2 linked regions of the Macaca mulatta genome follow. The protein of the gene in region 1 purifies or fractionates together with the protein of each later gene. This does not show direct contact. Links are inferred from orthologs where the notes say so. Each region holds a gene or a part of one and is shown on either strand. Other genes may lie near its edges. The genes, in order: POLR2B and MED26.

The links.
Region 2: the proteins of POLR2B (region 1) and MED26 purify together in Homo sapiens (affinity purification with mass spectrometry; 3 studies listed by BioGRID and IntAct, with this or other methods). This does not show direct contact. The link is inferred for Macaca mulatta from reciprocal best matches to the Homo sapiens genes POLR2B and MED26.

Annotation. Positions count from the first base shown.
Region 1 is NC_133410.1:76,508,322-76,514,916, reverse strand, and holds the start of POLR2B (DNA-directed RNA polymerase II subunit RPB2), read left to right. Parts: upstream 1-2,189; 5' UTR 2,190-2,239; coding exon 2,240-2,258; intron 2,259-6,595. UniProt on the Homo sapiens protein: Catalytic core component of RNA polymerase II (Pol II), a DNA-dependent RNA polymerase which synthesizes mRNA precursors and many functional non-coding RNAs using the four ribonucleoside triphosphates as substrates.
Region 2 is NC_133424.1:17,071,404-17,077,841, forward strand, and holds MED26 (mediator of RNA polymerase II transcription subunit 26), read right to left. Parts: upstream 4,259-6,438; 5' UTR 4,177-4,258; coding exon 4,075-4,176; intron 3,923-4,074; coding exon 3,848-3,922; intron 3,186-3,847; coding exon 1,530-3,185; 3' UTR 416-1,529; downstream 1-415. UniProt on the Homo sapiens protein: Component of the Mediator complex, a coactivator involved in the regulated transcription of nearly all RNA polymerase II-dependent genes.

The sequences.
Region 1 (6,595 bases):
GTCCCACAGTCGCTCCCGCAGCCTCTGCCGGTAGCCAGGAGCATCCTGGGGCAGGAGGTCCACTTTGTTTCCCAGCACGATCAGCTGCTTGGGGCCCACCAGCGCGGGCAAGTCGGGCAGCAGGGCGTCGGGCAGGTCGAGCAGGTCCACCATGTAGAGAACCAGGGAAGGCCCGGGCCGCCGCAACGCGGAGCTCACCAGCTCCAGGTACTGCTCGCGGCTCACCTGCAGGCGTAGAGCGCGCCGGTGGTGCACCAGCAGCCAGCATCGCTGGCACACGGTCCGCGCCAGCCCGCCGTCTGCCTCCGCCATGCGGAGGAACTTGTCGCAGGGCAGGTAGCCGGGCACGCCGGAATCCTGGCAGTGCAGCTCTGCCCCGCAGCCCGAGCAGTTCACGCCGCTGGGCGGCACTGCCGCGTCCGGGTGCCCCACGACCGGGTGCTCCCGGGGCCTGGTCCGTAGGTTTTGCTGTCGCCGCTCCTCCCGCCGCTGCTGCCTCTGTCGCTCCTCCTCCTCCTGCTGTTGCTGGAGCTCCTGCAGCTGCTCTTCGCGGGTGGGCTCCAGCTCCGGCTCCGGGATGTACTCCGGGAACAGAAAACGCTCCTGCATGTCAGCACCTTCTCCAAAGCCCTCCGTGTCCACGGGGTCATAAGGAAGCTCGCGTCCCAGACTCGATGAGTGCTGGAAGGAGGAGGCGGCAGCGCGCCTCCTCCCCAAGAGCGGCTCCCGGAGGCCATGGCGCGCTGCCGTGGGAGCGAATCCACGAAAGAAAAGGCTCAGCAGCCTGAACTGCAGGCGAGCGGGCAGCATGAGGAAGTAGCTCCAGGCAAAGGGGCGGAGTCACAAGCGCGCACGCGTACTAGGGCCCGAGGCGACGCGCGTGTTAGAACCGAGACGAAAGCGAGTGGGTACCTGGGAGCTGTCCTGGTTAGTTTTGCGTCTAATCTCGTGAGTTCTCGCGATTTAAGCGCCGAGACTGAGAACCTACTTAAAGCTATAGTAAAGGCATTGGAGGCACTGGAGGATTGAGCTAGATGGGCAGAAGAGAGCGATGAGCGTTTTGAGTTTTTTCACTTTCAGGCTTAACGCCTCACTGCTAGCCCAAGCCGCCCGTAATAAATCACATTTAAAAAGGAGCTTCCGGGCCGGGCGCGGTGGCTCACGCCTGTGATCCCAGCACTTTGGGAGGCCGAGGCGGGCGGATCATGAGGTTAGGAGATCGAAACCATCCTGGCTAAGACGGCGAAACCCTGTCTCTACTAAAAATACAAAAAATAAACCGGGCGTGGTGGCGGGCGCCTGTAGTCCCAGCTACTCAGGAGGCTGAGGCAGGAGAATGGCGTGAACCCGGGAGGCGGAGCTTGCAGTGAGCCGAGGTCGCGCCACTGCACTCAAGCTTGGGCGACAGAGCGAAACTCCGTCTCAAACAAAACAAAACAAAACAAAACAAAACGGAGCTTCTGGCCGGGCGCGTGGCTGGAACGGTAGGCGAGCGGGCAGCTCGCCTCTAATCCCAGCACCTTGGGAGGCCGAGGCGGGCGGATCACCTGAGATCGAGACCAGCCTGGCAAACGTGGTGAAACCCCGTCTCTACTAAAAATACAAAAATTAGCCGGGCGTGGTGGCGCGCGCCTGTAATCCCAGCTATTTGGGAGGCCGAGGCAGGAGAATCGCTTGAACCCGGGAGACGGAGGTTGCAGTGAGCCGAGATCGCTCCACTGCACTCCAGCCTGGGCAACAGAACGAGACTCCATTTCAAAAAATAATAAACAAATAAAAATAAAAATTGCTTCGTGTTTTGGTCTTTATAAAGGCAAATCAATTGAGCATCCCAATGTCGCGGATTCACAGAACGAGCACTTTTTATTAATAAGTATACTTGGCTTTGTTTTCAGGTGTCGTTATTTGTGCAACGACATTGAAAAACAAGCAGAAATAAAACATTAACGGGACGGATGCGACAGCAGATTGCGGGAGCTGTCCTCTCAATCAGCCACCGGCAGCGGCGGCCCACAATTTGCGCGTGTGCAACCCAACTCCCGCCCAAGCTTGCCCTACAATTTGCGCAGGCGCAGATCCTAACTTTGGCGTCCCTGTGGGCGGCCTCTTGTGTGAGACGCACAGTATTCTGGGAACGTCGGAGACGGAAGTTACTTGGTCTTTAGCTCCCGACGCTGGTGGCTTCTGCGCGCTTTTTGTCTTTGATTTCGAGTTAGGAGCTCGGGAACCGTTTGGCAATATGTACGACGCGGATGAGGGTAGGTGAAACACATGCCACGGCGGTCCAGCAGGGAAGCTTGGGGAACTGATTGGATTGATGATTGGGGCCTTCCCTCCCGCCGGCCGGACAGTCCCTAGCCTTGTTCCCACACCTTTCAGGCCGGGAACGAAACTGGGGTAGGGAGAGGCAGAGGGTGCAGGGAACACAGCGTTAATGTTCCCGGTTAGGTTCACTGCTGCTCTGCACTTTCTCGTTCCCTTAGATCTGATCCTCGCTTCCTGTAGTGAAGTAGCGTGCAGAACCGTAAGATAAATTCCGTGGTTTTGAATTTGAAGCAAAGAGCACCCTTTAAAATTTTTCCTTAAAGCCACAGTCGACTTACTGAATAGCTGAAGTGTTGAGTGTCAGCCTGTGTCAGGCAGTGTGGAAGGCCCTGGAAATATATCGGGACAGAGAATATCGGGGGGGAGGGTGGGAGGACTCGGTTTAGTCTGACATTTCTTCATGCTGTTTGTAAGTCAAAGTAAATTGTCTTAAAGGATGGCGTTTAAATTTCCTCTTCTCACAGTGTCACAGTTCTCACAATGTCACAGTTCTCAGATGATATGTATTCTGCTACACTGGACCAATGTATAATATCTGTTTCTTTGCGCATATGGAATTCTTAGTAGTGGCCGAGCGCGATGGCTCCCACCAGCACTTTGGGAGGCCGAGACGTGCAGATCGTTTGAGGCCAGCCTGACCAACATGGGGGAAATCCCGCATCTACTAAAAATACAAAAATTAGCCGAGTGTGATGGCGCGCGCCTGTAATCCCAGTTATTCGGGAGGCTGAGGCCACATCGCTTGAGCCCAGGAGGCAGAGGTTGCAGTGAGCTGAGATTGCGCCTCTGCACCACAGCCTGAATGACAGAGTAAGACTCTTGTCTTGAAAAAAAAAAAAAAAAAAAAAAAAAAAACAGAATTCTTAGTTGAATCTAGTGTATTTTCATAGCTGCCTTTTCTATTCTCCATATCTACTAATGCAAATCTTATTTTCTTCTAGCTCTCAATTCCTTGGCCACCCCTTACATCTCCTCTCTTTATTCCCTCAGCTACTTCTGATAAATGAGATGGAAAAAATTGAAGCAAAAGCTTAAACTTTTTAAAAAATTTTTTTTGAGAGATAGGGTCTGGCCATGTTGCTCAGGCTGTTCTCAAACTCCTGAGCTCAAGCCATCTGCCTGTCTCAACCTCCCAAAGTGCTGGGATTACAGGCGTAAGCCACTGTGCCCAGCCAAAAACTTAAACTTTTAAAGCTGTTTAAACTTCTGTCTCATTTATATCTTGTGTTCTAGAAATTTATTAGCATCATTATAGTACTTGTTCTTTTTAACTGTTATCTCAGTAGAAGAAAAATTCGAAAAAAAGATTTTTTAAAGCATAATTTTTGGCTAGGTAATACATTCTCAGCTCACAAGCCAGAAAGTTTAAAAACGTTAAAGTGGGGTGGCTGGTACAGTGTCTCACGCATGTTATCCCTGCATTTTGGGAGCTTGAGGTGGGTGGATCGCTTGAGCTCAGCAGTTCAAGACCAGCCTGGGCAACAGGGGAGACCCCCTCTCTATAAGAAATGGAAACATTAGCTGGGTGTGGTGGTGCTCACCTATAGTCCCAGCTACTTGGGGAGCTGAGGCAGGAGGATCGCTTGAGCCTTGGAAGTTGACACTGCTGTGAGCCAAGAACAAAGTGAGACCCTGTCTCAAAAAAAAAAAAAATTAAAGTGTCAGGTCTCCTTCTTACCCACCATCTGCCCAGTTTGAACTCTCCACAGTGGGTAACTACTGTTACAATAGATTTTAATCACTCCGCAGTTTCTTTTTTTTTTTTTTTTTTTTTGACAGTCTTGCTCTGTTGCCCAGGCTTGAGTGCAGTGGTGCAATCTTGGCTCACTGTAACCTCCGTCTCCCAGGTTCAAGCAGTTCTCCTGCCTCAGCCTCCCTAGTAGCTGGGATTACAGGCGTGCACCAACATGCCCAGCTAATATTAGTATTTTTAGTAGAGACAGGGTTTCTCCACGTTGGCCAGGCTGATCTCAAGCTCCTGACCTCAGGTGATTCACCTGCCTCAGCCTCCCAAAGTGCTGGGACTGCAGGTGTGAGCTACTGCGCCCAGCCTCCACAGTTTCTTTATGCATATTTGAGCAAATATAAATGGGATTTTTCTCCTTTTTTAAAGACAGAAAGTAATATTCACACTTTTCTCCACTTTTAGATTTTGCTTAATGTATCTAGATTTTTGTATCAGTACACAGAAAGCATCGCCCCCGCCCCTTCGCCCACTCCGCCAGTTACTTAGTTTGTGTGGATGTACCATAACTTAAGTAGTCTCTTGATGGATATTTGATTTATTTCTAGTCATTTTCGGGTTCAGTGCTGTAAATGAATAATCTTGTACATATAATTTGCCCAAGTATGTCTGTGGGATGCATTTCTACATATAAAATTGTCACGTCAAATGATACACACCTTTAACATTTTGCTAGATGATGCCAAGTGACCACCATAGTGGTGATTTGTACTAGTTTTGCAATGTATAATGATCCCGTGCAAAAAAGAGTTTATCATAGTTGCTTTAGCAGTGAGCCTACATTTTATTCTTGCCCATGTCCTCTGAAATGTTTATTAGATAATGTCCTCATCAGTTTTCAGCCACTATGTGAAAATGTCAGATTTCTGTCATCCACATGGAAACAAGTTAAACTTTTCATTTTTTCCTTTTTCTTCTAGTATTTTACCTTTCTCCTTTCATTCACAGCCAAACATAAAAATAATAAGCTGTCCTTGTTTCTAATTTTCATCTTTCATGTCCTTTTCAACTGATTACAATATGTTTCTACTCATGCTACTGCATTAAGATAGCTCTAAGATTGACAGTGACTTCTCAATTGATAAATGAGATGGATATTTAAAAAATCTTATCTAAACCCTGTGGTCTTCAAAACTGTTGATGACATCTTCCTGGAAACTCACTCAGCTTTCTAGCCACATCACTTCCACTTGATTCTTCTTATCTGACTTTTGTTCTCATTTTCTTTCCTGTTCACATTCTCTTTGGGTGATCTCATCCATTTTACATTGTTTAGTTACCATTTGTATGTGGATGACTTCTGAATGTATACTTCTAGTTTAAAAGCCCTGGTATCTAACTGCCACTGGCCAACTAGGATATCTCCCAGGCTACTTCACCTTGTCACTGCCCAAACTGAGCTAATTATTTTCTTTTGCTATTCCCCTCCCAAAGTCACTGCCTCCTGTGTTCTCTGTCTTGGTGAAGGGCACTGTTGGCCCTCTGTATCTGTAGGTTTCACATCTGTATATTCAATTAATCTTGGATTGAAAATATTAAAAAGCTTGAGGCCAGGAGTTTGAGACCAGCCTGGGCAACATAGGGAGACCTCATCTCTACAAAAAAATTTAAAAATTAGCTGGGCATGGTGGCGTGTACCTGTGATCCCAGCTACTTGGGATACTGAGGTGGGAGGATTGCTTGAGCCCTAAGAGTTTGAGGCTACAGTGAGCTGTGATCACACCACTGCACTTCAGCCTGGGTAACAGTAAGGCCCTGTCTCAACAAAAAAGAGAATATTAGAAAAAAATTGTGCCCTTGTAAAAATGTACAGACTTTTTTTCTTGTCATTATTCCATAAACATTACAAGTAAACAATTCTTTACATAGCATTTACATTGTATTAGGTATTATAAGTAATCTAGAGGTAATTTAAAGGATACAGGAGGATGTGCCTAGGGTATATAACAGTGCCATTTCATGTCAGGGACTTAAGCATCTGTGTTTTGGTATCTATGGGAGGTCCTGAAACCAGTCTCCAATGGACACTGAGGTACAACTGTTGTACCCTCTGTTGTTGAAATCAAAAACCTGGCCATCATTTTTGACTCCTCTCTTTCACCTCCATATCTAATCAGTCACCAAGCCCTGTTGGTTCTGTCTCCTAAATACGTCAAATCTGGTCACTTCTCTATCCCCTTCACCATCATTCTAGTTCATGTTGCTGCCATCCCTTGCCTAGATTACTCCTAACTGATTTGTGTACTTCCAATCCATTCTCCACACTGGCCATAGGGATCTTTCAGAAACGAAAATGTGACCTAGCCACAACCCTGCTAAACTCAAATCTCTTGATAAAGGCCAAACTCTTCTTATTCCACTTCCAACTTCACACTCTGCGCTTCCGCTACATTGACCTTCTGTCATTCTTTGAATATGCCATCCTATCTTGCATTATGGGGTCTTTTGCACAATTTGGTTTTTTCTATTCGGTAGGGTTCTTTCTTGACTCCTCCTACCTTTTTCCCTTCCTTTTTGCCTGATTAC
Region 2 (6,438 bases), on another chromosome or scaffold:
TTTTTTTTGGAGTCAGCAACCACCAGCTAGTAAGGCAGCCGGGGGCCAGGGCCACAGGGTGGGCTGCCACACACACACACACACACACACACAGCTCTAAGTCTCTGGTATTTTGTTAAGGTGGGGGTAGTCACTGAGACCTATGCTATGGAGCCTCCTACGGAGGGCTGCTCTCTAGGCCAGGTAAAGTCTGGGTGAGACAAGATAACGTTCCTTAATGTGGCCCTGAATGAATAAAATGTGAAGGTCCTCCCAAATGCAGCAGCAGGCTAGCAGGTGGACTTCAAAGCACAGTGCCCTGTCCTGTCTCCCTGCATTGCGGCTGTTGGGGTCTAGGTTTTTCTGGCTAATCTACAATCCAGGAAAGGGCTGATTTGGCTGTGAAGGTCCAAATGAGAAAAGATTCTCAGACTGGTTTGTGCAAATGGTTTTTTTTTTTTTTATTTCCACATTTATATCACAAGGTGTCCACTTACTGGACCAAATAGCAAAGTTGCTCCCTTCTGCGTCCTGAGAACACAGAAGTCTAGGTACTGTACATTCACTAAGGCTCCTTGTTTTTGCAAATCGCGTTTATGACAAATAACCATAAGGCAAACGAATCTAAAGGAATGGTTATGAGTGTTTCCAGCGTACAGACAGGTCTCCCCCTCGCCCCACAGTACAGCATAAAACCAGTAGCACCCACAGTCACTTTTGTGTTGTTTTGGGAGGACTCTAGAAAGGTGAAGTTTTCTAGATGTGTACAGGAAGGGAAAAAAGAAAGGGAGGAAGAAAGGAAAGGTTTTTTTTTTGTCTGGTGGTCTGATGGAAGGAGTTGTTAAAATAAACATGAAAAAACTTAAATTTTTGCAGCATTTCTTTAAAAACGGGGTTATAACTGAAACCAGATATAAACAGGTGGCTGCCCATGGAGTGTGGGTCACCCTGGCTGGCCAGCTGGCCCGCCTGCCCGATGCCAGTGGCTCACCACAGCTGAGAAGCTTCTGGCACATGACGGACAACACTGACCTGACAGTGGCTGGGTAGGGAGCAAACAGAGGCAGCATGGCCCACTGTCTCACAGACACTCAGGGCCAAATTAAAGAACAGAAAATGCAAGAGAGATGAGATGCGTGCTTCTGTTGCTGTGTTAAAGGTAACCTCTCCACAGGTTTTCTGTGCCTGCCTGCAACTGAGGTCCCAGCTTTCAGGTGCTGGAAAGTGTCCGCACCTCTTCAGGGGTGAGGGACTAACGCTTTTTATAGCTGGTTTGCTATAGAGTTCTGAACTCACTTTGCCGTCCTTCCTTCCACGCGGTCCTTCCTTCGCAATTTTGTTAGTAAACTGGTAGCAGCATTTCACAAAAGGAGAGTTTTGAGGGAAGAGTGCAGAGAGACCGCGTGACTCCCGCCCCCTCCCTCCTGCCCGGGCCGGACTCCCCGAGTTCCCAGTGCAGGAGGCAGCTGGGCCCCGGCCACCCACCCACCTGCCTGCCCGCCCGCCCGGCTTCTGCAAGATGGGAATGCACTTCGTGGCTGACGGGCCGGTCAGTCCAAACAGACATAAGGCAGAATGTTCAAGCGCCCGTCATCGCCGTGCGGATCAAGTGATATGCACTGCGTCCAGTCATACCAGTTACCCTGTGTGTCCTGACACCCGTTCACCCCCGGCCACTGGCTGGCCTGGATTCTGTCGAGATCGTCCTGTGTGATATCCCGGGTCAGCCCGGGGAGGTCTGTGGGCGGGCTTTGAGGCACCAGCACGTGCAGCTGCCTGGCCCCTTGCCGGGTGCTCTCCTCCTGCTTCAGGTACTCAGACATGAAGTGGTGAGCCCCCGGGGTCTGCGCGCCCGACGATGAGAGCAGGCTGCTCTGCCGGCTCAGGTAGGACTGGATGATCTCGTTGCGTGACAGCTCCTTCCAGTTCGTCTGTTCAAAGGGGCTCTGGAGGCTGGCCTTGGCCTCCTGCTTGTCCAGCTCTGTCCTGGACTGCTGCTCCATGTGCACAGGGCTGTCTGCCCGCACTGGCTCTTTCTGGGTCAGAGGTTTGATCTGTCTTGTCATGGGGTCAAAGGTGAGCTTCCGCTCTTTTAACCGGACAGGCTTGACGCCCGCCTCAGCCACCTGCCCGTCCAAGTTAACCGTGTAATCTCGAGGCCGGTACCTCTTCTTCTTTTTACTGTCCGAGCCCCCTGAGGAGGCAGCGTCACTGTCCGCCTTGGAGGAGTCTGGGGAGAAGCCCGCCCGGGACAGGAGGGGCTCGGCTGGGGACAGCCCTGCCTTGCAGCCCGGCCCCGCCAGCCGCTGGTGGCTTTCCGGCTGCTCAAGCCAGCGCACTGGGCTTTCCGCACTGGGCAGCAGCTCAAGCCGCCGTACAGGGGGTGTGGACGGCTGTGCCAGTGGAAGCGGTGACGGCACCTGTGTGGCATCGAGCGCCTGGGGCCGCGGTGAGGGGCTGGGCACGGAGCCCTTGGGTGCATACAAGCTCTGCTGCCGGGCAAAGGAGCCCTCATGCCGTGAGTTCCGAGGACTGAAAGAGCAGCGAGGGGGCCCCTTGGGGTGGGGAGGCCCCGGAGTCTCATCCACCCTGTCCAACTGCTGCAGCACCGAAGCCTTTGGCTGCAAGCAGGGTCCAGGGGGCTTGCCCAGGCCTGGGGAGCTGGTGTGCGGCCGCACAGCGTTGATGGGGATCTTGCCACTGTGCTTGTCGTTCTCGCCACGCTCCAGGCGGCCGCCCTCTGGGCCTGCATGCCCACTGCCATCCAGGGAGCCAGGGAAGCTCTCTGGACTCCCACTGATGCCATTGGTAGGGAGGGGGGATGAGTTGGGGACCAGGGGGTCGTGGCTAGCTTTGGAGACCTTAGGTGGTGGCCCTGGGTGGCCGAGGTCACGCTGGTCACCCCTGCGCTTGCGGCTGCCCAGCCTGTCCAGCCGCTGCCCGGGCAGCCTCTGGAGGTCATTGCGGCTCTTCAGGTCATGGATGCTCCTGGGCGGGCCAGCCGCCCCCACCTCCGGCCGGCAGTTGTGTGCACCCCCGTTGGCAGAGCCAGTGGCCCCCGCCAGCCCCCGCAGCGCTGCCTCATGCTGGTGCGCTGGCTCGATGAGCTTCTGCCAGCTCCGCAGCAGCTTCTTGGCCCGCTTGGCGAGCTCCTCGTTCTTGGTTTTCTTGCGGACGTCGTTGATGAGCTTCCCAAGTCGTGTTTCCTACAACCAGAAAGAGAGATGATGACATACTTTCGGGACAGGGACTTCCCCATGAGCTGAGCCAGAAATGGTGGGAAATGGCCCTGACAATGAAATGACCTGGTTCCCACTGAGCCCTAAACTGCCAGCCTCCCTGGCACAAAACTCCTGGGGATTTCCGGTCCTTTGTGACAATATAAATTCTCAAACCTAGTCCCCAGACCTTCAGAGTCCCAGGTGGCTTCTCAGCAGTGCTGTCCCGCAGGCTCCTGGTGCCAGGGGGCTGTCAAGGCCACTGTAAGGACACTGCCAGGGAGGCTTTCTGGATGAGAGGGTGCTGTGGCCAAGGCGGCAGCACAGAGGGTCTGCTTCAAGTGGAGGGTTGGGGACGGCGCCTCTCATTGGAGCCTCCCCCAAGCACACCTCTCCTGATGTCCCCATGTCCCCACGTGCCCACGTGCCCATGAAGTGTGCTGGGCAGGTAGGATGGGATTAATGCCACTTGGTCACTGCAGTGGCCACAGGAGAGCAAGATCACGGGGCACAAGCTGTGAGGGCACACCGCCTCTCTTGGTCCTCTGAAGCAAAGACACACGCTCCTAGAAGCTGGGGAAGGAACTGGGTTGGTGCCGTCCCCTGTCCCCCATTCTGCACTCCCAAATGCTGGGGTCTGGGATACTCACCTCAAGTGCCTCTTTGGTAATGGGGTATTTCTCCAGGCTGGAGATGACTTCCAGCACCGCCACCATGTTCCGGATCTGTGGAAATAAAGAAAAAGCCATTTGTCAGGTTCCTGCCCTTCTCCCCTGGGAGGCAGGGACACCCTACCCCAGCCTGCTCCAGTCTCTCCCCAACCCCAGAGCAAGAGGAGCTGGCAGCACTGAAGCCCCCACTCCATGTAGTCTCCTACCTGCTCCCCAGGCCAACCTGGCGCCCAGTGCTCATCCTCACCCGCTGTCCGACCTCCTCCAGTGTGTGGTGTGCGGTCTGCTCCAAACCCTCCAGTGTACATGGTACATATCCACCCACCTGCTGAAACCCAGGATGCTTGTGAAACAAGAGCTGCTCCTGATACTTAAAATGACCTCTACTCTGCCATCTGATGGGAGTGGGAGAGGAGACACTGAAGAATTCATCGAATAAAATCCACAAAGCTTAAAAGATCAATACATAGGCTGGGCGCGGGTGGCTCACGCCTGTAATCCCAGCACTTTGGGAGGCCGATGAGGGCGGATCACGAGATCAGGAGTTTTGAGACCAGCCTGGCGAACACAGTGAAACCCCATCTGTACTAAAAATAAAAAAATTAGCTGGGTGTGCTGGCATGCGCCTGTAGTCCCAGCTACTCGGGAGGCTGAGGCATGAGAACTGCTTGAACCCGGGAGGCAGAGGTTGCAGTGAGCCAAGACCACGCCACTGCACTCCAGCCTGGGTGACAGAGCGAGACTCCGTTAAAAAAAAAAAAAATTCAATACATAATAAACCAGTCGATTTGAATCCAAAGACACCATAAAGAGAGCAGAAAGTCACAAAGTGGGAGAAGGCATAGACCACAAGCCCCAAGGAGCTGTATCTGGAACACACAGAGAATGCCTGTGCAGCAGTGCAGCTGACCAGGAACCCAGCGCACAGTGGCTACAAGACAGGAACAGGCACTGTGCAATGAAATGTCAGCGCTAATGCTCAGCTTCTCAGCTTTATCAATAATTAGGAAAACTCAAACTGAACCCACAAATGGATATATGATACACGCACCCCACTGACAATACTAGGTACTTCTGGGGGTACAGCCGACTTTGGGAACGGCTGGACTTTGTCTGGCAGAGTGAAACATGAACACATCCTATGACCGAGTAATCCCACCCTTTTAGGATCTTGCTAGGAGCCACACCTTGTTCTAAGCACTTCCCACACATTACTAACTCCTTTAATTGTTACAACAAGAATTCCTACCGCTCAACCGCCACCTCCAGCAGCTACAGGTTTCTGGTGGGCTGGCTGGCAGGCGGGAACCCAGGGGCCCTGAGGAAACCACAGTGAGTAGATTACACAACTCCCCCCCACCCCCACCCCAACATGATAAAGGAGTTAAGCAGGCACATGATACAAATTAAAACAGCGTAAAAGGGCACACAAGGAAATGGGCATCTCTGACCCAGCCACTGTAGCATTACCTTGCATTTTTTTCCAAAAATATCCCTTGTGTATGCAGGCGTATACATCTACACTTGTCACATATTTCAAAACCAAACTGACCGTGGTTCTTGCCTTTTCTGACTTAACATCAGCAATGTCCAGCCTCAAACAGAGCCCCTCATTTGGCTCACCATCCCTTCCAGAGTGGGGAAGGCCCGACTTGAATGTTGTGGGACACTTAGGCACTTTCTGTTCGCCATTACAAAACAAGGCTGCAACTGACGGCAGTGACAGACTTGACTCTGGGCTAATGCACAGACAGCCGCGGGTGAGCCGGGGCTTCACATCCATGCAGGGTGGTCACCTCGCCCCCAGGGAGGCTGCTCCATTCCATTCCCACCAGGCCACATCCTTGCCAAGACTGCGTGGCATGAGTTTCCATAACACGTGATTGTAAACTCAGCATCTTACACAGCACACATTTATCATCTCAGGCTCTAGGGCTCAGAAGTCAGGTCTCGGTCTCACTGGGCTGGGATCCTCTCTGGAGGATCCATTTCCTGCTCCTTCAGGTGTTAGCAGAGTTCAGCTCTTACTTATTTTTTTGAGACGAAGTTTTCCTCTTGTCGCCCAGGCTGGAGTGCAATGGCATGATCTCAGCTCACTGCAACCTCCGCCTCCTGGGTTCAAGCAATTCTCCTGCCTCAGCCTCCCGAATAGCTGGGATTATAGGCACCCGCTACCACGCCCAGCTAATTTTTGTATTTTTTTAGTAGGGATGGGGCTTTCACCATGTTGAAGGCTGGTCTGGAACTCCTGACCTCAGGTGGTCCACCCTCCTCGGCCTCCCAAAGTGCTGGGATTACAGGCGTGAGCCACGGCGTCTGGCTGAGTTCAGCTCTTTACACTGCAGGAATGAGGCCCATTTTCTTGCTGGTTGTCATCCGAAGCCATTCCCAGCTTCTGGAGGGCACTGCATCCAGCTCACAGCCCCTCCCCTTATGCCAGCTACAGGCCGAGTTCTCGCCCGGCATCTCTCTGACCCAGCCAAGATAGGTGCCATCTCTAAGGACTCCCTGACTAGGCAGGGCCTGCTCAGATGATCTCGGATCATCCCCCCCATCTCCAGACTGTTCCC